3 linked regions of the Xenopus tropicalis genome follow. The protein of the gene in region 2 purifies or fractionates together with the protein of the main gene of each other region. This does not show direct contact. Links are inferred from orthologs where the notes say so. Each region holds a gene or a part of one and is shown on either strand. Other genes may lie near its edges. The genes, in order: arrb1, nfkbia and vcp.

Region 1 (10,395 bases), on a different chromosome or scaffold from region 2:
ACAATGACTCTGTTACTAATATAATATTCTATTTCTAATCCCTCGGCTCCAAAGTAAACTGCCCGCTCCCCTCTGGCAGCGCCCGGGCGTGACATTGCTAAGCCTGGCACACAGGCTGGCACCCAGCCGCTCATCTTTCCGTCGCTGGATAAGGGCCCGACAGGGGACCCTTTGATGTGAATAACAGAGAGAAGGATTAAGTCACACGTGATTGGTCGAAAGATCTCGCACTTGCCCCCCATAGTGTGAGTTACAGAGCACTTGTGCCCGACAGGCACTGTATTTAATGCCTGCCATAGCCAAGCGGTAATTATAGGTTCCCGTTGCTTCTTTTGCCCATGTTTATTGCAGTTTGCACCCTGCCCCACATCCTTGTGTCTGACCTGCACCTATGGGTGCTAAGTGCCCACAACATGGAGCTGTGCCCTTTGCACCCTGGTTGGCACTTTTGGCAGCAACTGTCACAGTTACAACTACAGTCGCTCATTTCTTTGTGGCCCTTAACAATTACATAGGCGATTCCATGAAACTGGGTCAGTTTATTGCCCCCCCCCCCGGTGCTGTAATTGTGCCCCCCCCCCCCCCGGCAATAGGAATCCTCTCCCTAATCCGCTTTGCCTTGTGGGTATTTTGCACTCTCATTAATGAGCCGCCCTTTCACACTCTCATTTACTTTCCTCTTTGATTATCTTTATCCCAGCGGATCATTAGCCGACGGAACGGATAGTTCTAATTGGATCGCATTAGCAAGTGAGGAAGGTGTCCGGCAGCTCATCCGACTTGAGCAGTCGTTATGGCAACAGCGGGAGGACACCCAACTAATTCCCATGCCCTGGAGTAGGACTGGGCATTATACTTGGCATCTATCAGTGTGTGCCACGGGGAATCCCTGGGCCCCATACTACAGGTATAGGACCTATTATCCAGAATGGGGTTTTCCGGATAAGGGATCTTTCCGTAATTTGGATCTTCATAACTTGAAGTCTGCTAAAAATCCTGTAATTATATCTTAGTTGGGATCAAGTACAGGTACTGTTTTATTATTACAGAGAAAAGGGAATCATTTAACCATTAAATAAACCCAATAGGGCTGTTCTGCCCCAATAAGGGGTAATTATATCTTAGTTGGGATCAAGTACAGATACTGTTTTATTATTACAGAGAAAAGGGAATCATTTAACCATTAAATAAACCCAATAGGGCTGTTCTGCCCCCAATAAGGGGTAATTATATCTTAGTTGGGATCAAGTACAGGTACTGTTTTATTATTACAGAGAAAAGGGAATCATTTAACCATTAAATAAACCCAATAGGGCTGTTCTGCCCCAATAAGGGGTAATTATATCTTAGTTGGGATCAAGTACAGATACTGTTTTATTATTACAGAGTAAAAGGGAATCATTTAACCATTAAATAAACCCAATAGGGCTGTTCTGCCCCAATAAGGGGTAATTATATCTTAGTTGGGATCAAGTACAGGTACTGTTTTATTATTACAGAGAAAAGGGAATCATTTAACCATTAAATAAACCCAATAGGGCTGTTCTGCCCCAATAAGGGGTAATTATATCTTAGTTGGGATCAAGTACAGGTACTGTTTTATTATTACAGAGAAAAGGGAATCATTTAACCATTAAATAAACCCAATAGGGCTGTTCTGCCCCAATAAGGGGTAATTATATCTTAGTTGGGATCAAGTACAGGTACTGTTTTATTATTACAGAGAAAAAGGAAATAATTTTTAAAAATTAGAATGATTTGCTTATAATGGAGTCTATGGGAGATGGCTTTTCCGTAATTCAGAACTTTCTGGATAAGGGGTTTCCGGATAAGGGATCCCATACCTGTACTAAGTTAGCAGGGCCCTCCACCCTAGGGAGCCCCAATTATTTACCCACTGGGTAGAAGCATATCTACCCGGGGGGGGGCAGAACCCCTAGGCTCAGCCCCCCATGGTATGTGCATGGTAAGTTTCAGTGTGGAAATCTTGCCCACTATAGTTACCCCACTACCATTGGTCACCTAGACCCCCAGGGGGAGGATCCTGCCAACATGCGAAATGGGACCCCAATGAGAACACACACAGACACACCCCATATCCCAGTCCCGACCCATAAAGCTAAAACTGTGCCAACATTGCACCCAAATTTCACCCACTCCAAATAACCAATAACAATTTTATTTCTCTTGGGCCCCCCTGTGCCTCTTGATGGTACAAATATTGGGGGGCCCGGGGATTATGCCCTCACTTCCCTATGATGAAACCCTATGTGTCATGTTTAGCGCTGGGGGGTTTGGGCTTCAGGGACTGAGCCCCACACTGGGATAAAGGGAACACACCCGGGGCCCCTCCGGTATAACGAGGGTTAATGCGCCACGCCTACCGCCGTGAATTTGCTTCCAAACGCTAACAATGAGCAATTAAACTCCTCTTAATCCTCAAATATTTTGCCAGGGTGATAAGGAATCCTGCCAGCAATCCAACACCCGATGCCAGCTCTGTGCCCACATACAGTGCCAAGGTGCCGCCATGGTAACCTAATAAATGCACTCATATGACTGGCGGGGGGGCAAAGGCTCACCTGGGGGGGCAGTTATATAACAACTGGTTGGACTCCCCCTGTGCCCCCCTAATGGCCATGTCCCAGCCACTCCTGATTATTCCCTGACCATGTACTCTCATTGGCTCACCCAAGGTTAAAGGGGATACAAACCCTGCTGCCCAGCGCGGCTCAACCCAACGTTACTCAGTTGTTACTGGGCTACAAATCCCACAATAATGTAACATATAATGAAGCTTGGGGCATGCTGGGAGCTGTAGTCCAGCAACATCAGGGCTGTATTCTTAAAGCAATATTGCACAATAAAACTTTCCCCCAAATCCCCACAGCCAGCGACTGCTTTAACATGCGAAAAATCCTCCAATGAGAATCCCAGCTGATGTGAGTAAATCCGGCTCCCTGTTCTCTGTTCCTGCAATTGGAGTTGGGAGCAATAAGCACAGTTTCCCAGCACTGAACAAGTCTGTCCCTTTATCCCCATGTCTGATTCCTGTGCCATATAATGAGGGGAGAAAATGCCATCATTATCTCTATATGTAAGGTACCAGCAAGGGGCCTGACACAGTGCTGGGAATCAGCATTCTCACTGGGCAGTTCTTTTGCATTTATAATCAACTTATTTATCAGTACAATTCTCATTGGGGAATTTCCTTGCATCTGTAATGATGGTTTTTGGCAGCTTCTATAGCAAAACTAGGGGGCGCCGTGGGGCAGCATCATGGCTGGGTTTATATCACCATTAAATATACGGGGGGCAAAAATGCAGGATATTTGGCAGGTCCGACAGATGACTGGGCCACATGCTATCAGCAGGGCTTTCCCCACAATGGAGCCTGGGTTATTAGCCCCCCCGCCCACACACAGGCCCTGAGCCCTAGAATCCATGTAACCAAGGCTAGGTACATACATAGCAAAACCCCCAGTCTGCCCTGTTACCCTCTTACCTGCCCAGACCCCTGCCCATCTCACCAGCAAACCCTGTACCTTTTGCAGTCCTATGACAATGGCTATGGCCCCGTCCCTGCACTGTGATTGGGCCCCAGACCAGTCACCCCCCTCCCCTGCTGCTGAGTCCTTAATTGCACCCAGAAAGATACAAGTCACAGGGCCAATGGGCTCCCAGACTTCGAATAGAGGTTTTGGGAGCCCAATTATAGCACCCATGGGTGCCTGGTTATACAACTACAGCCTTGGATGGTATTAGAGCACCTAAATATCCAGGTCACTTCCAGTTGCCCCGGATTGGGCCAGCGGATAAGGAAGGTAATTACCCCAAAGGCTTCATTGCTCAGCCAAAGCGCCTTATATATTTATCCCACTCTCCCTAACGCTAATCCTCTTATCAGCCCTAATCTAATTATATGACCCCCACCCCCCCCCCGCCAGATTGCACATCCCACTGTCACTCAGCCAATGAATTGCCTCCATTGTGCTCTTGGGAACCAATGACCCATTGCTCTGTGCGGCCACAGTTTTATTGTTACAGCTCTGTAACTTTTCTTTCTATTCAGTCCCACTTCTATTCGTATCCCAGTCTCTCATTCCAACCACTGCCTGGTTGCTAAGATAATTTGGACCCTATCGACCATATAGCTGCTAAAATGCCAAGAGCCCCATTAAATGACATTATTGGCCGCACTATTGTGACGTCATTTCTGTATTCCAAGAGCTTCCCAGTGACACAAGTCCTTTAGGGGTTACGTGCCCAATGGGTTCCACTGGGAATGAGGTGCCAGTGCACAAAGGGTGCAAACTCTATACCAGAACAGGGCAGGGTTGTGCCAAGTTACGGGGCCCCCCTGCAGCCTATTACATATTTCTACATTTCATAGCATCCCCCCCCAGTTACAGCCTGTACACCTACCATCATCTTGCCTTACTATACACATTATGCCATAGTTAGAGCCCCTTCTCCTGGCACTGTAGCCCCTATGCCGAGTGCCATCTTGCCTACTATACACATTATGCCATAGTTAGAGCCCCTTCTCCTGGCACTGTAGCCCCTATGCCGAGTGCCATCTTGCCTTACTATACACATTATGCCATAGTTAGAGCCCCTTCTCCTGGCACTGTAGCCCCTATGCCGAGTGCCATCTTGCCTACTATACACATTATGCCATAGTTAGAGCCCCTTCTCCTGGCACTGTAGCCCCTATGCCGAGTGCCATCTTGCCTTACTATACACATTATGCCATAGTTAGAGCCCCTTCTCCTGGCACCACCTTACCTTATTCTGCACACTGTCCAGCACTGTAGCCCCTATGCCGAGCCCCATCTTGCCTTACTATACACACTATACTACAGTTACAGCCAATCCCTGAGGGTCCCTTTGCATACAGCTTGGGGGCCACACAAACTGCAGGGCACTAAAGGCAGCCCGGCCACAGAAAGAGGGGGCACTGCAAGCACCGGGCATTAAGGGGAATAACAGTGGGATTTGCTCATTAGAGGTAACACCCCGGGGGTCATGTTGGCACGAGGGGGCATCGCTGTGGGTGATTCCTTGTGCCCAGTCCGACACACATTGTGCCACAGACCTGTCCTTACTCACAGAAATACGTTCTCCATTGGCGCGGCCTTGTGGGCTTCCAGCTCCCCACAGCGGATTCCCAGCGGTGCCACCACGCAAGCAGGAACCGACTCCTCCAATACGGTTCTGATCCTTAGGTACGGGCTGTCAATCCACATGTAATCCATCTAGGCACCGGCATCACTGCAGCCCTGCCAGCCAGCGAGGTGTGCGACGGTCCCTTCCCTCTCAGCTCTCTCCCCCCCACTGATTCCTTTATTCTCTCCAATGGCAGCGACTACCCACGGGCTGGAATCTCAGCCGCTCTCTCGCTCTCTCGCTCTCTCTCAATCCAAGCAGCTGCATCAAAATTCTCCCATTTACTGTGTTATGCCCTGCGTGCAAGTCTGATTGGCTCGTGTCGTCATCGGCAGTACAGCGTGCCGCGGGCACAACACCAGCATATCAAATCTCTGCAGCCTCCCGCGGGTATGGGTGAGACCCTCCCCAGCCAGCGGGAATGCAGAGACAGAGATAGGGGGCCCAAATATTCCCCCCAGCAAAATGGCAACAGCAAGATACAATGGGGATTGTAAGATATGATGGAGACAGTGGGATAGGAAGAATGGTAAGATAGGGCAATGGTCAATAGGGCAAGAGGGCGACAGTAGGTCATGATGGAGACAGTAGGGCAAGATGGGGACAGTAGGACAAGATGGAGGCAGTAGGGCAAGATGGAGACAGTAGGGCAAGATGGAGACAGTAGGGCAAGATGGAGACAGTAGGGCAAGATGGAGACAGTAGGGCAAAATGAAGACAGTAGGGCAAGATGGGAGACAGTAGGGCAAGATGGAGACAGTAGGGCAAGATGGAGACAGTAGGGCAAGATGGAGACAGTAGGTCAGGATAGAAGCAGTGGGAAATGATGGAAACAGGACCAAAATAAAGAAAGTATGGCAAGATGCTTTAAAGGTGAATTAGCTTTGCTTGTACAACATATTTCCCAGGGCAGCCCAGTAAGCAGGGTTCCTATCTCTGCTGTTGGAATTAGAGTGTAGGCCTGGGGGAGAGGTGCATGTAGTCAGGACCAGAAACAGGCAAAATAAACAAAACAAAACACAATTCAAATAATAGAATACTTTGCCTTTAAATCATACAAATACAAAAACACATACAAGAGTATTATAAAAACAAAACCCCAAGTCTGGATGTGGGCCAAAAGCATCAATCTCTGGAGAAAATAGAGAAATAAATTCCGTTGAGGGGTTTGGGAATAGTCAGGGCGAGTGAACGTAAGGTCACAATCCATGGAGATGAATGTCTGGTTTATATTTTGGGAATAAAATCAAAGCCGCTAAATGTCATCCAAACGGGGAAACTATGGAGAGATATGCTGAAGTAAATTCAGCAAAAGAGCTCAGTGCCAGGCAGTGACTGCAAAAGCCAACAACAACTTCTGTTCCACATGCCATGGAGTTTTGCCCATAAATGCCATGTTGTGAGGCCTGGTCTAGTACACGGAAGGTATAAGCACCTTTGGGTGTCACCCCAGAAGGACCACCCAAAGGGAAACTATGGAGAGATATGAAAATAACACAGAAAAATACTCAGCAGAAGAGCTCAGTGCCAGGCAGTGGCTGCAAAAGCCAACAACAACTTCCGTTCCATATGCCATGGAGTTGTGCCCATAAATGCCATGTTGTGAGGCCTGGTCTAGTACGTGGTATAAACACCTTTGGGTGTCACCCCGCAAGGACCACCCAAAGGGAAACTATGGGGAGATATGAAAATAACTCAGAAGTAAACTAAGCAGAGGAGCTCAGTGCCAGGCAGTGGCTGCAAAAGCCAACAACAACTTCCGTTCCATATGCCATGGAGTTGTGCCCATAAATGCCATGTTGTGAGGCCTGGTCTAGTACGAGGAATAAACACCTTTGGGTGTCACCCCGGAAGGACCACCCAAAGGGAAACTATGGAGAGATATGAAAATAACTCAGAAGTAAACTCAGGAGAGGAGCTCAGTGCCAGGCAGTGGCTGCAAAAGCCAACAACAACTTCCGTTCCATATGCCATGGAGTTGTGCCCATAAATGCCATGTTGTGAGGCCTGGTCTAGTACGAGGTATAAACACCTTTGGGTGTCACCCCGCAAGGACCACCCAAAGGGAAACTATGGAAGGACCAACAGAAGTGGGTGTATTAATGCCCCTACCATATCAGAGAGTTCATTGGGTGCCAGCCTAGTGCATTGACCCAACCTGATGCGGGAACCCAAGGTCCAGGGTGGCAGTAGCTCCAGGGTTCCCCAGTGTGAATGGGCGCAATGGGGGCAAGAGGGATGTCTCGGAAAGCATGGGCAAGTGCAGGAACATGTTCATGCCTCCATGTATTGTCTCATTTCCCCTCTCCTGCCAACAAACACCAGTGGGGTTTAAAAACTGGGGGATAAATATTTGAGTGTTTCCATCGGCCTTACAATGACAAACATGTCTGAGGTCACAAAACAAATGCGGAAAGATTAACACCGCCGTCCAAAAAGGAATAGACTTGACTAAAGGCCACTGCGGAAGAACAACATGCAGGTTCTACAGGCTACTGCCTAGAGATCTATTGCCCCCAGTCGGGGCTGTTGGTTGCTAGGAACAAGTTTAGGGGTCCAGGGACTTGTCTTGTTGCTGAACAAACACCAAGCGGCGAGAGGGGGGCGCCGACGCTCAGCAGAGCCCGGATCGTTCTGATGTATGAGGCTCATTTCTCGTTGGTTTGAATTTCTAATTAAAAGTAAATCAAATCAGTGGGAACAAACAGGCAGCGAGGTCAGGCCAAGATTGGAGTAAGACTCGTCATAAATAGGATTGGGTGGGACACTCTATTGATTCATACAAAAACAGCATAGTAATACATTAAGCTGTGCAGAAGTAGGGAGTAATTAGCGAGTGTGCAGTAGGAGTAGGTACAAACAGCAGGACCAGCATGGAGTAGGGCAATAGCGTATGGGTTGAGGAGAGCACAGAGAATTCTGCATGAGTGTGGATTATAAGTAGTCATGCATAGGATGGGGTAATTAGTATGGAGTTAGAGTAATAATGCACTGCATGGGGTTGGATAGAGTTAGTAGTATGCATACTCCTGTGTAGGGAAGAGTAGAGGGTATCCCGCATAAGATGGGGTTTGATAAGAGTATTAGTGACTCTGCATATGATGGAGTTACACAGAGCTGGGGAAAGAGTAATCCTTATAGGACAGGGTGGAGTAGGGAATGGAGCATGCATGGAGTTGCACAGAATATGGAGTAGGAGTAATTGCACATAGGATGGGGTTGGATAAGACTATGGGGCTGAGTAGAGAATAGAGTAAGAGTAGTTATACACAAGGTGGGGTTGTGCAGACTATGAAGTAAGAGTAATCCTAATGAGTATGGGGCTGAGGAGAGAATGGAGTAAGAGTTATAGTTATGCATTTGATGGGATTGTATAGAATACGGAGTAGGAGTAATTGCACATAGGATGGGGTTGGACAGACTTTGGAGTAGGAATAATGGTACTTTTGCTCGTACCCCAGTGCCTTACTACAAGCCAATAGGCCGTACTCCTATGTTTATTTGCTACTCAAACGCTACTCGAGTCAGTTTGTGCCACACGTTAAAGGACTCACTTCCCAAACAGCTCACAAAGTCCTTCCTCCATGGAGTCCCGGCACCCCGGCCAAGAAACGTAGCCTGTACCTACTGACAGTAAGCCCCGCCCCCCAAGGGACATTTCCATAATACACCAAGATGGCTGCCCTACACCCAGCCCATCATAAACCTTTATTCCATCCCAAAAGTGCTTTGTGTTTGAGCCGAGAGTGCAGCCGAGAGTGCAGCCGAGAGTGCAGCCGAGAGTGCTGAGAGCCGTTGCCCCTTTCTTGCAGCTTCGAAACCTAAATGGATTTGTGATGATGAAAATCAATATTTTCACTTTCAGATTTTCCATCTAATCCCTCCATATTGGACAGTTTGTAGCCCATGTGGATCTAGTGAAGGGCAGAAATGGATGGGGCTCTAAGCAGCGGATAAGACAAAAGCTTCTGTTTGTTGAGTGAGTGTGAAGCTTCGCTATTCAGCATGGACATCTCCGGCCGGAACCTTCATGGTGCCCTACCAGCCCTCTCATACGGGGATCTGAGCACATAGTCCCATTAACCCCCGGCACATAGTCCTACTGAGCCCCTGCCCATAGTCCTACTGAGCCCCGGCCCATAGCCCTACTGAGCCCCTGCCCATAGCCCTACTGAGCCCCTGCCCATAGTCCTACTGAGCCCCGGCCCATAGCCCTACTGAGCCCCTGCCCATAGCCCTACTGAGCCCCTGCCCATAGTCCTACTGAGCCCCGGCCCATAGCCCTACTGAGCCCCTGCCCATAGTCCTACTGAGCCCCGGCCCATAGCCCTACTGAGCCCCTGCCCATAGCCCTACTGAGCCCCTGCCCATAGTCCTACTGAGCCCCGGCCCATAGTCCTACTGAGCCCCGGCCCATAGTCCGACTGAGCCCCGGCCCATAGTCCGACTGAGCCCCGGCCCATAGTCCGACTGAGCCCCGGCCCATAGTCCGACTGAGCCCCGGCCCATAGTCCGACTGAGCCCCGGCCCATAGTCCTACTGAGCCCCGGCACATAGTCCTACTGAGCCCCGGCCCATAGTCCTACTGAGCCCCGGCCCATAGTCCTACTGAGCCCCGGCACATAGTCCTACTGAGCCCCGGCCCATAGTCCTACTGAGCCCCGGCCCATAGTCCTACTGAGCCCCGGCCCATAGTCCTACTGAGCCCCGGCCCATAGTCCTACTGAGCCCCGGCCCATAGTCCTACTGAGCCCCGGCCCATAGTCCTACTGAGCCCCGGCCCATAGTCCTACTGAGCCCCGGCCCATAGTCCTACTGAGCCCCGGCCCATAGTCCTACTGAGCCCCGGCCCATAGTCCTACTGAGCCCCGGCACATAGTCCTACTGAGCCCCGGCCCATAGTCCGACTGAGCCCCGGCCCATAGTCCGACTGAGCCCCGGCCCATAGTCCGACTGAGCCCCGGCCCATAGTCCTACTGAGCCCCGGCCCATAGTCCTACTGAGCCCTGGCCCATAGTCCGACTGAGCCCCGGCCCATACCGGGGGCCTATTCAGCTATTTATAGAAGCTAATCACCTCTTTGCATATGCAAATGGAATCAGGAGAAGAGGGACTTGAGGAGTATGAAGTACTGCGAGGAGGAGTATTTTTCTGTTGATTCAGGGGACAGAGTTGTTCTCGATGGCTGCCAATCAACAGCAAAACCCAAGAGACTTTCTTATTAAT
Region 2 (10,395 bases):
TCTATTTTTTTAGGGTGAAGACACACTGAGCTATTAGAAGCAGCTACTTTTTCATGGCTACTAAACCCCAGAAAATACCCCGCCATAGACAATACTGAGAATTGCCTCTTCTAAGGGCTGTGGCACACGGGGAGATTAGTCGCCCGCGACAAATCTCCCTTGTCGCGGGCCACTAATCTCCCTGAAATGCCATCCACTGGCGAGAATGTAAATCGCCAGTGGGATGGCATATGTGGCGCCACGATTTCCCTAAAACCCTGGATGTTGCCTTGAGAGGAAACTTCCGCGATTGCAATCCACGTATGCAATCCCACTGGAGATTTACATTCTCGCCGGTGGGATGGCATTTCGTTTGCCAGAGCCCTAAAACACATATAGGGACAATTCTCAGTAAATGATCAGCATTGTCTAATTTAGTAGCCACGACAAGTAGCTGCTACTAGTAGCTCTGTGTGTTTTCACCCCTAATTTTTCAGTTGGGCCCCTCAAGCAGTCACAGGGTCTTTTATCTCTGAAATTACTTAGCTGTTCTGGTTAGTGTTTTGCTTACAGCAAACATAAAATTACCTATAGGTTACACTTTTTATTTTTTACTGTATTGTGTGTGTTGACACACAGTACAAAAAAGTTGTGCAAATTAATGAAAAAATCAGCGAAAATACGCAAGGTACGAAAACTTAGAAAAAATACATTTTTTTTTGTATTAGGAGCCGATCGTACTTAAATAAAATAGGTCCCTATATTTTAGACGTGCAGACTTTGTCGGTATAAGGGCATCTCTTCAATGTATCAACTGGGAAAGGCTTTTCACAGGGTTGAACAGAAAAGAAAAATGTAATATCTTTAAAATTATGCTTAACAAGTATACAGGTCAGTATATTCCCCTTATAAACAAGGAAAGGAATCACAATGCCAAACCTTTATGGTTGCATAAAAGTGTTAGTGGTGAAGGTTGGTAATAAAAAAACATGCTTTTAAAGCATTCAAATTAGCTGGGACAGCGGAAACTTGCATCAGGTACAAGGAAGCAAATAAAGCATGCAAAAAATCAGGCAAGCTAAAATAGAGATGGAAAGGGATATTGCAGTTGGTATTGCTGTTGGTATATATGGTTTATGTATGTGAGTGTATAGATAGGTCAGTATAGGTAAGTTTGAACTTGGTGGAGAGAGCACAAAAATATGGCACTAAGTGCAAATGAAATGTGACATTCTGACAGCACTGAATGGGTTAAATACAATCCATCCATGACTATCCAACTGCTTGTCAGCGCGCACACAAGGTGTATTTTGGGCAGAAAATCATACTTTCTGTGAATGAAATGTATCCCATATGCCCACTTGCAGGTTGATGCTATTACTGTAACTACTTACTTCCATGGGAAGTATTGGAAAGGATTGACTGTCATGAAGAAGTCCAAATCAGATAAAGATTGAGAACTGTACTGTTTTGATTGGGATAATAGATTGCCAAAGCATCAGTGCAGTAACCCATAGCAACCAATAAGCAGTTAGCTTTCATTAGTGCATCTTGCACTGTTGAAATAATAAAACAAACTGTGTGACTAGTCACCATATTGTGATAGATTTGGAAATCTGCCACTGATCTAATTGAGGTGTAAATAATGTATTCTATTACAAATGAAACCACTAAGACCCTTGAAGGGGGTGGTTTATTATAACTTGTTATTTGGCACTTAAAAAAATCAATACTTATCTATCTGCAATACTGCAATCTATCCTGCAGTTTCAAATGTGCCCAGCAGGGACCTTTGAAGAAGAATTAGATATCAGGGGATCTCCTGTTAAACCCAACGTGTTGCCAAATTACTGCTGGGATTTTTTTAAAGTGGCCAAACTTCAGTAAAATCCCCGTGTCCTATTAACGTGCTGCAATCTGTGAATCACATAATTTCACTTTCCGATGTTATGCCCCATTAAGTACATTTGCTGGAGGAAAGTTAAGTTCTTTAGGGGGAACATCAGAGGTACTTTTACACTGCACAGAGTCATACATGGCATTACCAAAAGCAGCAGAGGAGAACTACAGCTTCTATTAGGCTTTGCCAGCCGTACTGGAACTGGCATGTTTATTAAGATAGAAGGATCTGTCGGTTAGTCCTAGAATCTGTCCTCCACCTGCAAATTCCCTAAGCAGCTTTATCTAAAGTCCCTGATTGAAAGTGAGGTTTAATGAGCTTTAAGGAACGTTATATCTGCATACCAAATCCTAATCATGGGGAAATCCCAGTCACTGGGCAGTAATATAACAAAGACATTCTGTGTTTTGCATAACAAAGGCAAAACAATCCAAGCACCCAAACCCAAAGTCTGATGCCAAATTTCAGTACTGTATAGGGTGCACTAAGCTGTTAATATGTTACTACAGATTTTGTTTACAATATTTTAATATGGACAGATATGTATGACTATAAGTAAGTGGGCACTACAGCAGAATCTATACCACTATATAGCCCAACACCAAAAGCCACCAGAAAGATTATAGGGTTCATCACAGCCCTGGATGCAAGTACAAGAGCAATAAGGGACACAAAACTCCTTCTTGGTCATGGGGTTTGCAGTATTTAGGGGAGTTTTGGCACCAAATGCCGCCCCAATGTGGCCTAAGGGATGCTGCACCTACTCTCTTAAGGGTATATTTATTATACTGTGTAAGCCAACATTCGATATTCGGTGTATGTATAGTGGATCGACGAAGTGACCAATATCACAAAAAACCTTGGATATTGGTCGTCTTGCCAATCGGGCAGGGTAAAATATTTTGATCGGGCACTGTTGAAGCGCCTGAGCATAAGCATACGTTAAGGGCTGAATCGTCAAATAGGGGTAGAATTCTTATTGTTTTTGCCAATGGTCGCAGGAAGGTTGATAACTGTAACGTGTATGGCCACCTTAACTTGTAGGTGACCATTAAAATCTAATTGCTTATTAAATGCTATATGCAACATCACAGCTGATTTTGGCTTACACACTATAATATATATGCCCCTTGTGTCAGGGGGGCACATCCAGCACCGGATTTCTAAATGACGCGCCCCGAGGCCGCCCCCATTTGGCGCCCCCTACCCGCCGTGCGAGCGCGCATGCGCAAACCACCTCCTCCTCCCCTGCCGCCGCGCTAATGCGCATGCGCCAAAGTTAAAACTCCCATACAGAGCAGTGGGGAGAGGTCCCCATTGCTCCGTATGGGAGCAAAATTTTGAAATTTGCGTGCGGCGGGGCAGCATGCCGCCCCTATGTTTATGCCGCCCTAGGCCCGGGCCTGGGCACATCACTAGTGCAGAGCGCACAATAGTATAGTCAAAGTATTCCATGATGTTTTTGGTTTACTACTTTTATTCCCACACAAGAATTACGGACAGATAACCTTCGGCAAATGGCAATTAAGTTATTTCACCTAAGCAAGGTACCTGAAACTATTATCGTTATAAAAATAATAACTATTAAATTCATACAATCTCATTTCATCCCAACAATAATGCACAAAGGGGCTTATGTTTTTTTTAAAGCAAATGCAAACTGCAATTAGGATTGCCACCTGGAGGTTATTATACTGGCCTGACCAGTTAAAATACTGCAATATCCCAATGTTAACTGGGTAGAGAGATGAAAATTTAGGAAGACCTGTATTTCTTTCCAGTGGGAAAGCCTTACTACAATGCACAAAAGAGTGCAAAATTCCATGTTTCACCCACAATGCAACGTTATTCCCCAGAATCCCAGTGTAATCTTGCTGCTTATGACGCAATTTTTGCAGCCTTTTGGGGAACATTGCGCGAAAGTTGCATTGTTTGTAAACCCCTCGTTTCTGGAAGTTGCTGAAATAAAACAAAATGGCATTAGCATCAATCATTAGGTGCAAGTCGGTTGTGTGTGTGGGTTAAGGTGCAAAATGCAAATGGCTCCCCGGACGTTGAGCTCTTATGTATTTAGCATAATATCAATAGTCTGTCAGACGAAGGTATATTTAACGCATATAAATGCCGAGTATGATGTGGGGAACTAATGTGTATTTTTGCCCGAATCCCCCCAGTGTGTCCCAGGAATGGTGAGTGTGCTGAGAGGAATGTACATGGAGTAGCTGCGCACGTCTGAAAAAAGGGAATTTCTGAGCCTTGTACATATTTCTGCGCTCTTCCTTTTATTGTACCACAGAACTGGCTCCGTCAGGTTCATTGTGTTCCTATACTGACTTATTCTTGGAATTTCCCAGAGTACATAATAGTTCACAAGTAGGAAACTGAGCTCGGCTCCACCCAGAAAAAACCCCGGCTGTATATGTAAAAGTAGCCTGCTGGGGGAGGGAGCTGCCAGATCGCTACCAGAAGTCGCTCTGATCGGATGGGATTAGTATAGAGGAGGCTACAGCTACAGAACTTCACTATCGCAACTGGGATTCTACAGTGTCTTCTAAGCTATTTTGCGGGGAAGCTCAACAACCGGCCGCCGCCATGTCTGTGCCTTTTCACGATTACCAAGGGAATATGATGGAGGGAGAAGCTAGGGATCTCCGGAAGGACAAACTGCTGCAGGACGATCGCATTGATAGCGGCCTGGACTCCCTGAAGGAGGAGGAATACACGGCTATCATTACTGACCTCAGCAACATGAGAATGGAGGGCCCGCCGGACACATCGAACTATGAGCCGGAGCCATGGAAGAAAGAGGTCAACGAAGATGGAGACACGTAAGTGATAGAGAATGGGTTCGTTATATGGCTGGGGATTGTGCTCAGTATCTACTGATATTGTATAGGGGCGATGAACCTTAGTATTAGTACATCTAAAACCATTACATCTGCCTTGCACAGTGTATATACTGATAAAGGGATAGTACTCTATAGTGCTGCACTAATATATATATATATATAACAGGGACACCTAGGTTTGGGGCAGTGTTTAGTGTAGGATATGTAGATATTTACTAATGCATGACTTCTTTATGGTGAATGCACAGTTAGGTGCATGGGGCAGGCTACACTGCATAACACTGCAATTTATTGTGCAGCTTTTTCATGCAACCATAAACATGCAGTATTAGTAAGTTGTGCAAATAGTTAAAAACCCTTGTGCTTTTAATGCTTTTTTTATATCATGCATTGGTATTTGCAAGCATGCAGCAACGCCGGGCAGCTGTTAGATGGCTTGGTGCATGTTTGTTCTTGGTAGGGGAATTTTTTTGTTGGTGCAGAAGAGACGCCATATCTGTCTGGGTTTTCCCTTCTTCGTGTGAGCTGGAGGGAGGGGGGGTGGGAGGACACCTTGTTCTCTGACTTGCTGCCTCAGAGGGGTGGGGGCTGGCAGGCACCCAGGGGCAGGACTCTGGCTTTGGAAAGTCCCTGGCCAGTAGCCAGGAACACAACTGCACACACACACACTCTCACACTCACAGCAGAAAGCGGAAAACAACAGACAGATCTAGAGAAGAAAAAATCCCCAGACTTACACAATTGCATAGTTGGCTGGGGGAGGGGGAAGTACACACTTGTGTCACCACTGACTAGTATTGCAGCTCACCGACATGCCGCTATGATGAAATAGGTTCATTATGAATTATTATTTCCTATTGCTTGGCAGTTTCTAAATTTATGAAGTTTTATTCACCTCGATCTTTCCCACACACTGAACCTTAACACCACTTCACTTACTGGTTCCCAAAGGGGAGGGGGGGGTACATTTTCTACTTCTGAATGATGAAATAGTAAATACAGAAATGACATTTTGTAATAAGATGCTAAGATTGGAAAGCTAGTTTGTCATTTCCCATAAACCTGCTAGTTCATCTTTTCTTTTTTTATGGTTAAATGACACAAATTTGCTTCTCTATTTTAACATGTCCTTTTTATGTTCCCTTCTAGGTTTCTCCATTTGGCAATTATCCATGAAGAGAAAACCCTGGTGAAGGAGGCAATCCAACGTTCATACAGGGACCATTTTTACCTGAACAAGCAGAATAATCTGCACCAGGTAATTTACTTTTTATTTTTTTTCTAAACCTTGTAAAAACTTTATTTCTAGATTAGCTTGTCATGTGCCACCATTGTCGGTTAGGGCAGGGCTGTCCAACTGGAGGCCCGTGGGCCGGATGTGGCCCTCCAAAGGAATTTTAACATATAAAGTATAATAGAGGGCCAGTTTGTGGAATAATTGACCTATGACATGTAAGTTGGCCAGCACTTAAAATATTAATAGTCAGTGCACTCATAGCATGTTCATGAGGGATAGAATATAGTACAAGCTTATTCTGCAAGTTCAATTTTGTGTTTAATGAGAATGAATTTACTGATTTTTCTTTTTTTTTTTAATGTCTTTTCTGCAGACAGCACTACATCTGGCAGTAATCACCGAACAACAAGACATCAGCCAGTCACTTCTCCAGGCTGGTTGTGATCCAGAAATCCAAGACTTCTGTGGCAACACCGCCTTGCACATTGCCTGCAAGCAGGGCTCGCTTCGGGGAGTTGGGGTCATTTTCCAGTATTGTGAGAAACAACTGCCAGCACTTCTGCAATCTGTGAACTATGATGGTATGTATCAAACTTAATCTATAAACCTTTAGACGTGTGTTGTTGTGCTACTTGGCAAATTAGAATTAGAACTGCCTTGCTAATATCTTTCTTTCCGATGCAGGTCACACGTGCCTCCACCTGGCATCGATCCATGGCTATCTTGCAATTGTGGAAAATCTCATTAATAAGGGGGCTGATATAAATGCCCAGGTCAGTATTCCCCCTACTTCACTTGGCTACATACTGATGTTTCTTCCTGCCATGTCTATTGGATTCAATTTTGCCTCTAGATCTAAGAGAAATTTCTGTTTCCCTCACCACAGGAGCCTTGCAATGGTCGCACTGTGCTGCATATGGCCGTGGACCTGCAGAACTACGACCTGATGAAACTGCTGCTTAAGCACGGAGCAGATGTAAACAGAGTCACGTACCAAGGCTACTCTCCGTGCCAGCTCACATGGGGCAGAAATAACATGCTGATTCAACAACAGCTGGTTGAAGTGACACACAAGAATTTGCAGTACCTTCCAGAGAGTGAAGAGGAAGACAGTTCTGACTCCGAATATGAATATAATGATGATGAGGTGAGACCTAGAGACGAGTTCATCATAGTAATGGCATGGGAATGAATGGCAGTTAAACCAGTTTCAAGCACATGTAATAATTAGCCTAATGTTAAAGAATTTTTAATAATCTGTTGGGTTGTGCAGGCCCTAGCAGTTTGGGCAGCTAAAATAAAATAAAGCATTTAGGGTGAGGCAGGGATGAGATTTGGCAGGGGCTACGGAGACTGATAAAACCATAAACCCATCCATTTTTAGATTAGTGATCATCTTCTTCCTTTTAAGTTAGAAAAAAGTGGGTTCAGTAGCAACCCCTGAGTTATGTTTTGGTCCAACATGTAACTCTCTTGCAATAAAGTTGTCGCTTAATAAGGTTTATGTATAACAATTTTTGGCTCTAAATAGTTTTCTTTCTCTCTTTTGTCTAACAGCTTATGTATGACGACTGCATCATAGGGGGGAGGCCGCTGCATTAGACTGCTGTGTGTGAACTAAAAAAAAGAAACTATAAGGACAGACTCTCATTACTAGAGGACAGCACTGGAGCCAGTGACTTCGGGGTAGAAAAGGATCCTCTGAAAGTTGAGGCGTGGAGGTGCTTGTGCTGTTCCATGGTGACCGATGTTCTACACGAGAAGCTTCCTGTGTTACATATCCTGCCGCATCAAGACCACAGCTATGAATTAAAGAGCTTATTCCTTGAGCAGATAAAGAGAGGATGCTGCAGAAGGAACTCTAATCTGTCATTAACATCATTGTGAGGCAGGGCGACCAATACCATGATACTGACAATGCCCTTCAATGCCAACATGAAATAAATGGCTCATAAATACACTGTGTTGAGGACCTGACTAATTATAGCCAGAGAGCAGATTGTTAAAATAAACTACACACTGTATATAGTGTAAATAAAGTACAGAGATTATTTTTATATGCAAAGTTTATATTTTATATAAAAAAAAGAAAAGAAAAAAAATAAATAAATAATTGTTTCCAAATCTACTCTGCAGATTATTTTTTTTTCCTGCTCCCATCCAAGACTCAAAGAACAGAAAACTTGATATCTTTACTAGGATAATAGGCTCAAAGTAAAATCTTGTGGAATAAAAATAAGATCTACTGAGCAAGGCCCACTTTACCTCTTATAAATGTGCAACCTCCTGCCTGTAGGAGTTGCAGTACTTTCTAGGCCTTTTTTAAGATGTAGCACCCCACCCCCACCCTTTGGAGGTCTTTGCATTGGTCAGGGCTGCCTTAGCTACTTCCAAGGTTAAAGCTATTGAAAAACACTGGTATTTTTAATTCATTGTTCCAAAAATATCAAGCACATAAGATCTAAAAACTCTCTCCTAATCTCAACCAACTTGACCTTTAACCTTTCAGGTGTATCTAAGAATCAAATAGGCATTCCCCCAATTATACCTGGCCTTACCCTACCGCTGCTTCAAGCCCACTTAAGGGTGCCAGCCCCAAGTTTGGGAATCACTATTCTATATGATATTTGGAAGGGAATCTCTTTTAGCGTAGAAAGAGTTGTCTCACCTTAATGTTGCTGGATAAACTTCAGTATAATCCTGGATAATCCTATATATTATCAAGGCCAAAAGCATTTGGAGACAGTATTCCAGAAACATAAGTCTTGAATGCTCTGTGTGGGTCTTAATGGCACTCCTCTGTGTATCCTGTGTTATTCAAAAAACATAAGGGATGGAACCTCAAGCAATACTATCTGGTAACAGGTTCCTAAAGTCTACAGGGCCAGTGGTTCTTGGGATGACATCTCAATATCTTTAAATAGCCTTTGGCAATGGTTCCCAAATTGTAGGGCTGGCTTCTATAGGCTGACCCAATCCTTGGCTGCAGGGAACCCAGCCTAAAGGCCAATTAGGGTAAGACTTGGATAGCTATTGATCTTCTACACACACCCTAAAAGACCAGATTGAAGGTCACTTGAGAGATTTAGGTGAACGTTTATTTGCTGCCTTAGATGTTATTGAAACTGAATGAAGTAATGTTTTCCAATACCTGTCACTTTATTATGTGCCATGATCCATTGCTGGATTTCAAATGGGGACTAGAACCAGAAAATTCTGAAACCACTACAAAAATGCAGTGAAAGTGTTTTGGAGTGAACACATCTAGGGTTATATTTATTAACACAGAAGACAAACATAACTGCTGATGTTGCCCAAGGCAACCAATCAGCACTTAGATTTGAACAGTCACATACAAGTTAGAAAACAAAAACAAAGATCTGATTGGTTGCTATTACCACCTATGATGTTTTTTTCCCAATAAATACAACATCTAATGTGCTTGATATTCTTGGAACTATGGAACAATGACTGAAATTCCAATGTTTTTCAAGATCTTTAACCTTAGTATGAGCTAAAGCAGTCCTGACTATTGCATAATTCTCCAAGGGGCTGAGAATCCTCCCTTCTAATGTTCAATTGCTGATTAATATTGGCAAGGAAAAGTTCCATGGATCTCTTCCATAATTGGTAACAGCAAGCAGTGTCGGACTGAGATGCCAGGGGCCCACCAGAAAACCTTGGACCATAGGCCCACTCTCTAATCCCTCAACCTCTTTATTATCCAAGTCTCTTTTCTCTATCCTTCCATTTATTTTTCCCATACATAAATAGGGAATGACCATGCAATTGGCCAAATAGATAGAAGCAAGAGGGCCCACTGACACCTGGGCCCACCGGGAGTTTTCCTGGTATCCTAGTGGGCCAGTCTGACACTGATAGGAAGATGAATAATGTAGCACCAGTAGGTAGGATTCTCACAGAAGAACTGTATCTGTAATTAAATTTAGAACTCGGGGGTGTAAATGCTAGTAAGGGGAGTGTTTAACCCTACCGTACCCATGTATAACATGAACCTGGATTGATCAGCAGAGTGCATACTTTTTTTTCTGAAGGCTACATAGAAGAAGAGGACAAGACAGGGACCAATGTCGCACAGGGAGCTTTTCAGCTGGCAGATTTTAGATTACCTCCAACGGCTCCCATGGGTACCACAAAGGAAAAACTGCAGAGGCCAAAACACCTTTCCTCAAATGTAGTTACATTCTATGTATCTGTCTTTAGTAGTTATTGCACAACTGCAGTATCCGCCATAGGCATCATGTTTTCTGTTCAAATGAATCTAGAGAAGCTGTCAGCAGGCAGGGACATTGTGCCTCACCTGGTACAAGAAGGCAAAATGTTATAGGCCTTACAGTCTAAAGTCATTCATGGACTTAGTTCACTCTGAGCTCACTAGGGTTGCCACCAGTATTCTACTGGCATAGCCA
Region 3 (10,395 bases), on a different chromosome or scaffold from region 2:
AAGGCTGCTCTGCCCCCCCTAAATAAAGATAAAGTGAGCCGCTCCCTCTGGGGACGCACCTTCTCTCTCTTGGGGGCGATGGCGTCCAGCTCGTCTATAAAGATGATGGCCGGGGCGTTCTTCTCGGCCTCCTCAAACGCTTTGCGCAGGTTGCTCTCCGACTCGCCGGCCAACTTGCTCATGATCTCGGGCCCTGGACGGAGACATAGAAGTAGCCCAGTTATTGGCCCACCCCAACAATCGGCAACGCTCACCCAAACACCCAGGGCTGTGCAACAGGGGGCCCAGGAGCAAAGGATCGGTATCTATGTATCGCCATATTAACCCTTACCCCCCCCTTTCCATCCTGCATCCGTCCCAACCTGAAGTCTTTGGCCATTTTAAAGATTCTGACTGACCCCCTCCACCCCCAGCAGCATCTCAGCAGGATTGATGCATTGATGCCACTGGCTGGGAGGGGGGGGTGCAGTGACATCACTGATAGCTGGGTGGGTTGCACAATATGGCGGACACAGAGCTAGTGCGCAGGGGACCGATGGAACAGAATCTCTCACCATTGATCAGGAAGAAGAAAGCTCCGGTTTCATTGGCCACAGCTCTAGCAATGAGGGTTTTTCCAGTGCCTGGGGGTCCGTACAGCAGAATGCCCCTGGGAGGCTGAGAGGCAGAACAAAAGGTATCAGTACACAAAGCGCACAGGCAGTAACTGGGGCACATTGGCTCTTCCCCTATAAGCCCCCACATCCCCCTAATATTCCCTTAAGATAAAAGGACAAACTACATCCAATGGGGAACAAGAGCCTATGATCTCTGTATATAGGTAATAGGGAAACGCAGCAGTTACATCTCTGCCCCCCTCCATTCACAGCTACAGAGAGCAGCCCCCCACCCTTCACTGCCATTGTCTTACCTTCACCCCAATAGCCTTAAAGAGGGCCGGGTGCCTGAGAGGCAGTTCCACCATCTCTTTGATCTGGGCCAGCTGTTTCCTGCAGCCGCCGATGTCATCATAGCCCACTTCATTCAAGGACTCCTCCTCATCCTGCAAGAGAAAGTGCGGCCGGGTTAAGAAACGCCAACATTTCACCAAGAACCGTATCATGCCATTTTATTTATTTCCATTCTTTCCTATCTCCTCTCTCTTCTTCCTTTTCTTTCTTTATGTTAAATAAAACTCAATAAAAACAATTTTTAAAAAAAAGAAACGCCAACATTTCAGTCTCTCGTTATCACGCAGGACGGTTGGCTTGCCCACCCCATACCCCTCGATCATGTGACCAGCAGAATCACGGGGGTTTGTGTAATAATCATGAAATACTCTAATCACTATGGGACTGTAGGGAGTAGATTCTAACAGTAGGTGGCAGTAAAGTCAGGCAGAATAGTTACATGCCTAGGTACCCTGCCCAGCTCCATACCCCTGGCACAGTGCCCCCCTCCCACCATGAGTGCTACATCCATATAATTATTAGCCTTGCAGCACCAGTATGAACTTCCCATGCTCCCCCCCCCCCCATTTCTCTCCCCCCATAGCCTTTACAGTGCACTTACTTCACGTTTAATGGGCTCCCCTTCACAATGGATTACAGTATCGGGGGCCACAATGCAGTACGGGGAGGGATCAGTCTCCACCACTTTGAACTCCACTGCTCGCATCCCTCCGCGCACCAGGAAAATGTCACCTAGAGGCAGGAAAGTGCCATTAAAATCAGTCGGACATAGCATGTACATTTGGGGCAAAGATACTGATCCGGGTCCAGTTTCTCTCTGAGCCTGACCCCTCCCATCAGATATGGGCTGGATCAGTCCAACAGTAAAACACATCCTTATCAATGAGTCTCAATGACAAGTGCCTACAGTGGAGCACAATTCACACAATGGCAGTGCAAATACACAAGTATTAAAGGGAAACTAATCCCATTTAGCCAACACTGAGCCCCTTCGGAAACTGCAGCAACCACATCCCCCAAAATTGTCCGGCTCTCCCATACCATGGTTCCTTGAGAGTTTGGCAGGGGGGAGGGGGACGTAATGTCCTGATAGGCTGGAGGACAACTATGAACACTGGCCCAGCTTATCAAAGCCCGGCCTGCTGCTCTCCCAACCAGGGACATGGTGACACGGCCCTGTTAGAATCAGAATGTGTCACTATCGCTTTAAATGTTTTAGGTGGTACCGGAGCCCAGAGAACTGGGCCTTTCCAAGTAGCACTGAGGGTAAAGCACCGGGATGCGCAGTCTGTACCTTTCCTGATTGGCCGGTAGGCTTCCAAGAAGTAAGGCTTGAGATACACCTCAAACAGGTTCCCAGTGATGCCCTCCACTGTGTCGTCTATGGGCAGGACATGGATCCGCTTGCCGTACTTCACATCCGGGCACGGCTGAATGCTGCGCAGAAACAGGAGCAGTGAGTAGCGGAACTGTAACAGAACTCAGAGTGGCCAATGGCAGAGCAACCACTGGCCACAGTACCAGAACCTACCCCATGGTGCCCAATAGCTGGGCCACAGTACCAGACCCTACCCCATGCTGCCCAATAGCTGGGCCACAGTACCAGACCCTACCCCATGCTGCCCAATAGCTGGGCCACAGTACCAGACCCTACCCCATGCTGCCCAATAGCTGGGCCACAGTACCAGACCCTACCCCATGCTGCCCAATAGCTGGGCCACAGTACCAGACCCAATACCCCATGGTGTCCAATAGCTGGGCCCCAGTACCAGACCCTACCCCATGGTGCCCAATAGCTGGGCCACAGTACCAGACCCAATACCCCATGGTGCCCAATAGCTGGGCCCCAGTACCAGACCCTACCCCATGGTGCCCAATAGCTGGGCCACAGTACCAGGCCCAATACCCCACGCTGCCCAATAGCTGAGCCATGAGTACCAGGCCCAATACCCCATGCTGCCCAATAGCTGAGCCATGAGTAACAAACCCAATGATACCCAATAGCTGAGCCATGAGTACCAGGCCCAATACCCCATGATACCCAATAGCTGAGCCATGAGTACCAGGCCCAATACCCCATGATACCCAATAGCTGAGCCATGAGTAACAAACCCAATGATACCCAATAGCTGAGCCATGAGTAACAAACCCAATGATACCCAATAGCTGAGCCACAGTACCAGGCCCAATACCCCATGCTGCCCAATAGCTGAGCCATGATTACCAGACCCAATGATACCCAATAGCTGAGCCACAGTACCAGGCCCAATACCCCATGCTGCCCAATAGCTGAGCCACGAGTAACAAACCCAATCCCCAGTGATACCTGATAACATCTCCAAGCCGCACCCTCAGGTTGTTCCGGACGACTCTGTTCATTCGGATCTTTTCATCGGAACAGGTGTCATCTGAGAGAACGATGCAAACGGCTTCCCTCCTCTTCTTCCCTTTCAGCAGCACGGTGTCCCCCCTAAAGAGCTGCAGCTCATCCATCTTGGCCTGAAACAAGAGCCCGGTGCCATTAAACCCCGGCGTCCACCAATGGTGCCATTAAACCCCAGCAACCCCCCCCCCCCGGTGCCATTAAACCCCAGCGCCCCCCCCCCCCCCCCCGGTGCCATTAAACCCTGGCCCCCCACCCCCCCGTCCCACACAGACCCCGGGAACAAGGCGCTTGTGCTACTGGCACTGGCCGTACCTGGGACAGAGACACCACACTGTTGTCCTCATTGATGGATTCATCCACAATCAGCCGATTGGGCCGGCTCTTCTGCTTCAGGATTGCTGTAGACAGGTCGTCTGATTTGGAACTGAATAGAGAGGGGGGGGGGGGTTAATTAGCTAAATTATTCATTCATCTTAATGGAGTGTGAGCCTGCCAGTACTTATGGGCCCGCACCCCCCAGCCACTGAGTCTGGCACTGTATTTATTATTTAGCATTTACTATAATATATATAGTTATTATTTATGGTCTTACAATAACTTAACAAACAAGGGTAACAGAGTAAAAAATAAGATTAGTGGGCCCTGCTCAAGAGCTTACAATCTAAAGGATTGTTTATTGTATGAAGATGAACAGAGATAAGCAAGGGTTAAAGCCTTAGGAATGTACAGTCAGTGCCAGGGGTGCAAGCGGTGACGCAGGGAGCGCAGCTTTTGGTTTCGTTTCTGGCTGGCTCCTTCCCTATTTACTAACAGCACAGACTGCTGAGCAACTGCCCCAACTCCCCCTCCCGCCCAGCGGCAACTGCCCCAACTCCCCCTCCCGCCCAGCGGCAACTGCCCCAACTCCCCCTCCCGCCCAGCGGCAACTGCCCCAACTCCTATGGTATCTGTACCTCTCTGATACCCAGCTCCTATCCAGAACTGCTGCCATAAAGCAAGTACGAACTGCTGTAAAAAGGTGTACGGATGTAAGCAGATTTCAGCTACATTGTTTCTAGAGTCAGAACTAGAGAAGGGAAAGGGACAGACAGACACAGTGACAGATACATAACTATAAACCCAGTGAGAATGAGGAATGAATGGGTATTGGGGAGTTGTATCAGGAGTCAGAACCAGCAGTGCAGGGAAGGGAAAGGGACAGACACAGTGACAGTTACACATAACTATAAACCCAGTGAGAATGAGGGATGAATGGGTATTGGGGAGTTGTATCAGGAGTCAGAACCAGCAGTGCAGGGAAGGGAAAGGGACAGACACAGTGACAGTTACACATAACTATAAACCCAGTGAGAATGAGGGATGAATGGATATTGGGGAGTTGTATCAGGAGTCAGAACCAGCAGTGCAGGGAAGGGAAAGGGACAGACACAGTGACAGTTACACATAACATAATGGATATTGGGGAGTTGTATCAGGAGTCAGAACCAGCAGTGCAGAGAAGGGAAAGGGACAGACACAGTGACAGTTACACATAACTATAAACCCAGTGAGAATGAGGAATAAATGGATATTGGGGAGTTGTATCAGGAGTCAGAACCAGCAGTGCAGGGAAGGGAAAGGGACAGACACAGTGACAGTTACACATAACTATAAACCCAGTGAGAATGAGGAATGAATGGGTATTGGGGAGTTGTATCAGGAGTCAGAACCAGCAGTGCAGGGAAGGGAAAGGGACAGTGACAGTTACACATAACTATAAACCCAGTGAGAATGAGGGATGAATGGATATTGGGGAGTTGTATCAGGAGTCAGAACCAGCAGTGCAGGGAAGGGAAAGGGACAGACACAGTGACAGTTACACATAACTATAAACCCAGTGAGAATGAGGAATGAATGGGTATTGGGGAGTTGTATCAGGAGTCAGAACCAGCAGTGCAGGGAAGGGAAAGGGACAGACACAGTGACAGTTACACATAACTATAAACCCAGTGAGAATGAGGAATGAATGGATATTGGGGAGTTGTATCAGGAGTCAGAACCAGCAGTGCAGGGAAGGGAAAGGGACAGTGACAGTTACACATAACTATAAACCCAGTGAGAATGAGGGATGAATGGATATTGGGGAGTTGTATCAGGAGTCAGAACCAGCAGTGCAGGGAAGGGAAAGGGACAGACAGACACAATACCTGGCCCCATACAGATACCCAGTGGGGCCAGAACTGATACCAGTACCGGTACTGCCCCCACCCAGGTATATTTACATGTAACCAAGGAGACTGGGAATGAGTGACAGGCAGGGCCCAGCCCAGGAGGTGACTGTGAGGGAATTTAGGGGATTTCCAACTAAAAACCTTTTGACAATAAAAACACAAACTCTTGATATTTATTCATTTTCCATATCAAATGGTTTTAAATTGAGTTGCTACAGACGGCAGCCTCTGTTTATATTCTCTGCACTGCTGGTTCCGACTCCTGAAACTATGTAGCAGAATCCAGCTGCAGAACTGGGGAAGGGCTACATTGTTTGAAGAGTCAGAACCAGAAGTACAGCCCTATTTCCTGCCAATTAGCGGGCACAGATGCCATTTACCCACAGGGTACGGGATCCTGGATACATCAGCATCTCCCAATGGGGTATCACTATCAGCCAAGTGTGTGTGGGGCTCCTCCAGTCTCCTGCAGTTCCACTTCTCACCTCAGGGGGGGGGATAATAACACCCAGGTTGCTAAGGGTATCGCTTGGCACCGGTTATAAAGAGAGTTGGGACAAGGAGGGGGGATGGGGGGGCTACTCCATATAATATTGGGCAGGTTTGGGCAAATGTATAGAGATTTATATAAATGTGGAGCAGAAGGGGAGGAGAGCACCCCAAGAGCCCAGGGGCAGGTAGGTAGGTGGGCGCTGGGGATCCAGAAGGTCAGACTGTAGTGCGGGGGGGGGGCTTCTCTCACGAGGGGCAGGAAAGCTTAGCATGGCCGTTCCCTCTGGGGGCAGGGGCATTTGTGCTGACAGGGGAGAACCATTCATTGGGCAAAGCGCAGGGACCCAGCAGGGAGCAGGCCCAGAGCACATGGGGGCCCGAGGGTCAGCCAATAGGCATGGGCACACAGATATAACCCCCCCAGCTGCAGTTGGTATAACCCTGGTGTATCTCTCTGCACTGCCTGTTCTGGAACGTACCATTGTAATGGCAGGGGTAGGTCCTGCCCAAACCCCACTAACTGGCCAGTGATTAGGATGAGGTGGCACGGCCCCTCTCTATGCTGTGAGTGCCAGCAGCTGTGGGCACCGGTGCCAGCATCATAAAGCAGTTCCACTGGCACCTTGGCACTGGGCCACAGGCACATACTCACACCCAGGCAGTGTGCCAGCGGCCCAAATGGGCAGGGTTATACATATTTGATAGGGTACATCAGCCATAGCTCAGATTGGGATGCAGACAAAGGGCCAATAAGAGTTCCCGGCAAGTTGCCTCATTTCTGGCAGGTTTCCATGGATACCCACCCTCATGCCCAGCTATGGCTCCTATTATACCCAAAGGGTACCCTGTGTTGCCAATGTCAGGTTCTCTATAGCAACCAGCGTTCAACTAGATACGGTGACTGGACTACAACTCCCAGCATCCCCCACAGCAGCTGGAGATCAGCCACTGTACAAGGCCTGGTACTACTACAGGCTCCCTGTACCCCACTAATGTCATACAGTATAAACCCATGCTGCTAGTGGCCTACAACTCCCAGCATCCCCCAAGGCGGCTAGTGCCCCCAGACATGATATTAGAGGCAGGGCACCCTAATCCTGATGTTGGACTACAACTCCCAGCATCCCCCAAGGCAGCTAGGGCCCCAAGCATGATATTAGAGGCAGGGCACCCTAATCCTGATGTTGGACTACAACTCCCAGCATCCCCCAAGGCGGCTAGGGCCCCAAGCATGATATTAGAGGCAGGGCACCCTAATCCTGATGTTGGACTACAACTCCCAGCATCCCCCAAGGCAGCTAGGGCCCCAGTCATGATGATATTAGAGGCAGGGCACCCTAATCCTGATGTTGGACTACAATTCCCAGCATCCCCCAAGGCAGCTAGGGCCCCAGACATGATATTAGAGGCAGGGCACCCTAATCCTGATGTTGGACTACAATTCCCAGCATCCCCCAAGGCGGCTAGGGCCCCAAGCATGATATTAGAGGCAGGGCACCCTAATCCTGATGTTGGACTACAACTCCCAGCATCCCCCAAGGCGGCTAGGGCCCCAAGCATGATATTAGAGGCAGGGCACCCTAATCCTGATGTTGGACTACAACTCCCAGCATCCCCCAAGGCGGCTAGGGCCCCAAGCATGATATTAGAGGCAGGGCACCCTAATCCTGATGTTGGACTACAACTCCCAGCATCCCCCAAGGCAGCTAGGGCCCCAGTCATGATGATATTAGAGGCAGGGCACCCTAATCCTGATGTTGGACTACAATTCCCAGCATCCCCCAAGGCAGCTAGGGCCCCAGACATGATATTAGAGGCAGGGGATCCTAATCCAGATGTTGGACTACAACTCCCAGCATCCCCCAAGGCAGCTAGGGCCCCAGACATGATGATATTAGAGGCAGGGCACCCTAATCCTGATGTTGGACTACAATTCCCAGCATCCCCCACAGCAGCTGGAGATCAGCCACTGTACAAGGCCTGGTACTACTGCAGACTCCCTGTACCCCACTAATGTCATACAGTATAAACCCATGCTGCTAGTGGCCTACAATTCCCAGCATCCCCCAGGGCAGCTAGGGCCCCAGACATGATGATATTAGAGGCAGGGCACCCTAATCCTGATGTTGGACTACAACTCCCAGCATCCCCCAAGGCAGCCAGAGGTGACCCACTGGAAAAGACAAGGCTCTCCCGGCAGGTTTCCTGTAGGTCAGTCCCGGCAGGCAGGGTACCATTCCCAGCAGATAACACTGGGGCCGGCTGTTGGCAGGGAATGCTGGGAGTTGTAGTCCTGCCGGTAGGTGCCGCTGTGAGGGGTGCATGACACAGCAGGATGAGGAGGCCGCAGTAGGCCGCACACCCCGGGTCCCGCTGTGCCAGCCAATGGGCGGAGCTCCCGGCGGCGGCGTCCCACCGGCACCCACAGACCCCCCTCAGCCCGCTCCCCGGTAACTCACTCGGATCCGGAAGCCATGCTCGGTGTCCGGCCTGTGCCGCTCCGCTGCCGGTAAGGAGAAACTGAGCGCTCGGTTCCTGCCGCTTATCAGGTGTTTCGGTCCCGTCCCGCCTGTGAGTCCCGCTGTTCCCTCTCGCTGCTCCGCTCGCTGCCCCGCTGTCCGTTCTCTCGCTTTCACTGTGTGACTGACCGAGGGAAAGGAGGAGGAGCGCCGGCGGCTGGGCGGGGCTTACACACACAGGAGGGTAAAGTGCAGCATCACTGTCCGCCGTCTGCGCTTGCGTCTTAATACTGCAACCAATCAGCGGGGCCCAGAACTGACGGGTGATGAGCAAGGAATGATGGGATATAGGCCACGCCTCTAGCGTCCTACCCGGCCGCCGCTTCTGATTGGTCCGTAAAGATGAAGGCGCACTGCAATGAAGGAGCCTACCGCGTCTGTCCTACTAACTCCTAGCAACTGCGCGTCTGGCCGACTGGGATTGGTCAAAAAACGGAAAAGGGGGCGTGTCACCAGGAAGAAGCCGCACAAAAGAGAAACAAATTCTGAGGTTGGCCGACTGTCAGTCAACTCGCTGAGCGGCGTGACAGGGCAATTTACTCACAACAGATGGAATATGGCGCCCAGCCACATACAATAAATGAAGTTTGGCCATTGTAATGTGATATGGCCCCTGGGCCTGTAGCCATGCACCCACTAGTAGCTTCACCCATAAGGAGTAATACATGTGCCCCAACTGTACTACATGTTAGCCCCTCCCCCTGCAGTTCCTGGGCTACAAGCTCTCAATCTATTGCCCCTCACATGGCAGTGATCGCTCATTATCTGCCCTGTCTGTAAGGCAATGCATTGTGGGTAATTTCCCCTACCTGCCCAGAGCTGAGGTAACATTGACCCACAAAGTGCCATAATATCACACATTGGGCAGGCCTGGCACTGGGAGAGAAGCTGGCACACAGGGGGTTAATGGTTCAGTTTATTGTGGGGAACTGATGGTGTTTTGCTGGACTAACTGGCAGTAAGTTACCTGGTGGGAATTGTTTCTATTCATATAAACATTCCTTCCAATCCTTAAAGCCATTAAAGGGGAAATATGTCCCCATTCTTTACACATGGAACAAGGTACATAAACATAGGAATATATGTTTGTTTGTTTTTAAACAGATATACCTAAAGGGTGGCCATACACCTCCCCAAACAAGTGGCTCTTCTCCTGATATTCCCATCTAAGGTGCCCAATATCGGGTTAATTCAATCGTTTGGCCCTAGGGCCTCTCGGAACCTCCAGTTTCCACCTTGCGTTTGGCCGCTGAAATCTTTTCTTGGTTTTTATATTCTAATAAACAGGTAAAAAAACAAAACAGATTTTCACAAAGTCAGCAGAGTCGTTATTCCTTTCCATTGTCTGCTAATCTTAGAATTTCAGGCCAGATATCAGTCAGGCAGACCCGTCGGTAGTGCCCATACACGGGCTGATTAGCTGCTGAATCGGTCTAAGGGACCCATATCGGCAGCTAGAATCGGCCCGTATATATGGCCACCTCTAGGCATTGCCCATTGCAGTGTCCTGCAACTCCTCCCTCGCCTCATTCCAGAGTGAAGTGATGGACTCTGGGACATGTAGTTCCCCTGCTTAGTAGGCGGTGCATGGATTCTCTGGAGAGCAGAGGGGCTTCAAATCCCAGAGTCACTTCACCCTGGAACAGGATGAGGGAGGGGCTGCAGGACACTGTGAGCCTAAGAGGGGTGGGGAACTGGCCATAGCAAGCACACATACTCAAGGTATCTTAGTCTTACATAAAAAGGGCAAGTTGAAAAGTGGCATATTTTCTTTTTAAAGGTGAAATTTAAGCAGAATGTCAAGGATATAGACATAATCCAACTGGGTGCAGTTATAT

What was found.
Region 1: the proteins of nfkbia (region 2) and arrb1 purify together in Homo sapiens (affinity purification with western blotting; 3 studies listed by BioGRID and IntAct, with this or other methods). This does not show direct contact. The link is inferred for Xenopus tropicalis from reciprocal best matches to the Homo sapiens genes NFKBIA and ARRB1.
Region 3: the proteins of nfkbia (region 2) and vcp purify together in Homo sapiens (affinity purification with western blotting; 7 studies listed by BioGRID and IntAct, with this or other methods). This does not show direct contact. The link is inferred for Xenopus tropicalis from reciprocal best matches to the Homo sapiens genes NFKBIA and VCP.

What each region holds. Positions count from the first base shown.
Region 1 is NC_030678.2:175,779,384-175,789,778, reverse strand, and holds the start of arrb1 (beta-arrestin-1), read right to left. Parts: upstream 5,603-10,395; 5' UTR 5,259-5,602; coding exon 5,113-5,258; intron 1-5,112. UniProt on the Homo sapiens protein: Functions in regulating agonist-mediated G-protein coupled receptor (GPCR) signaling by mediating both receptor desensitization and resensitization processes.
Region 2 is NC_030684.2:109,508,651-109,519,045, reverse strand, and holds nfkbia (NF-kappa-B inhibitor alpha), read left to right. Parts: upstream 1-4,351; 5' UTR 4,352-4,471; coding exon 4,472-4,707; intron 4,708-5,877; coding exon 5,878-5,986; intron 5,987-6,338; coding exon 6,339-6,546; intron 6,547-6,649; coding exon 6,650-6,738; intron 6,739-6,851; coding exon 6,852-7,112; intron 7,113-7,522; coding exon 7,523-7,567; 3' UTR 7,568-8,089; downstream 8,090-10,395. UniProt on the Homo sapiens protein: Inhibits the activity of dimeric NF-kappa-B/REL complexes by trapping REL (RELA/p65 and NFKB1/p50) dimers in the cytoplasm by masking their nuclear localization signals.
Region 3 is NC_030677.2:212,819,957-212,830,351, forward strand, and holds the start of vcp (transitional endoplasmic reticulum ATPase), read right to left. Parts: upstream 8,628-10,395; 5' UTR 8,515-8,627; coding exon 8,498-8,514; intron 3,761-8,497; coding exon 3,649-3,760; intron 3,450-3,648; coding exon 3,277-3,449; intron 2,388-3,276; coding exon 2,245-2,387; intron 1,683-2,244; coding exon 1,552-1,682; intron 1,043-1,551; coding exon 911-1,042; intron 658-910; coding exon 555-657; intron 194-554; coding exon 60-193; intron 1-59. UniProt on the Homo sapiens protein: Necessary for the fragmentation of Golgi stacks during mitosis and for their reassembly after mitosis. Involved in the formation of the transitional endoplasmic reticulum (tER).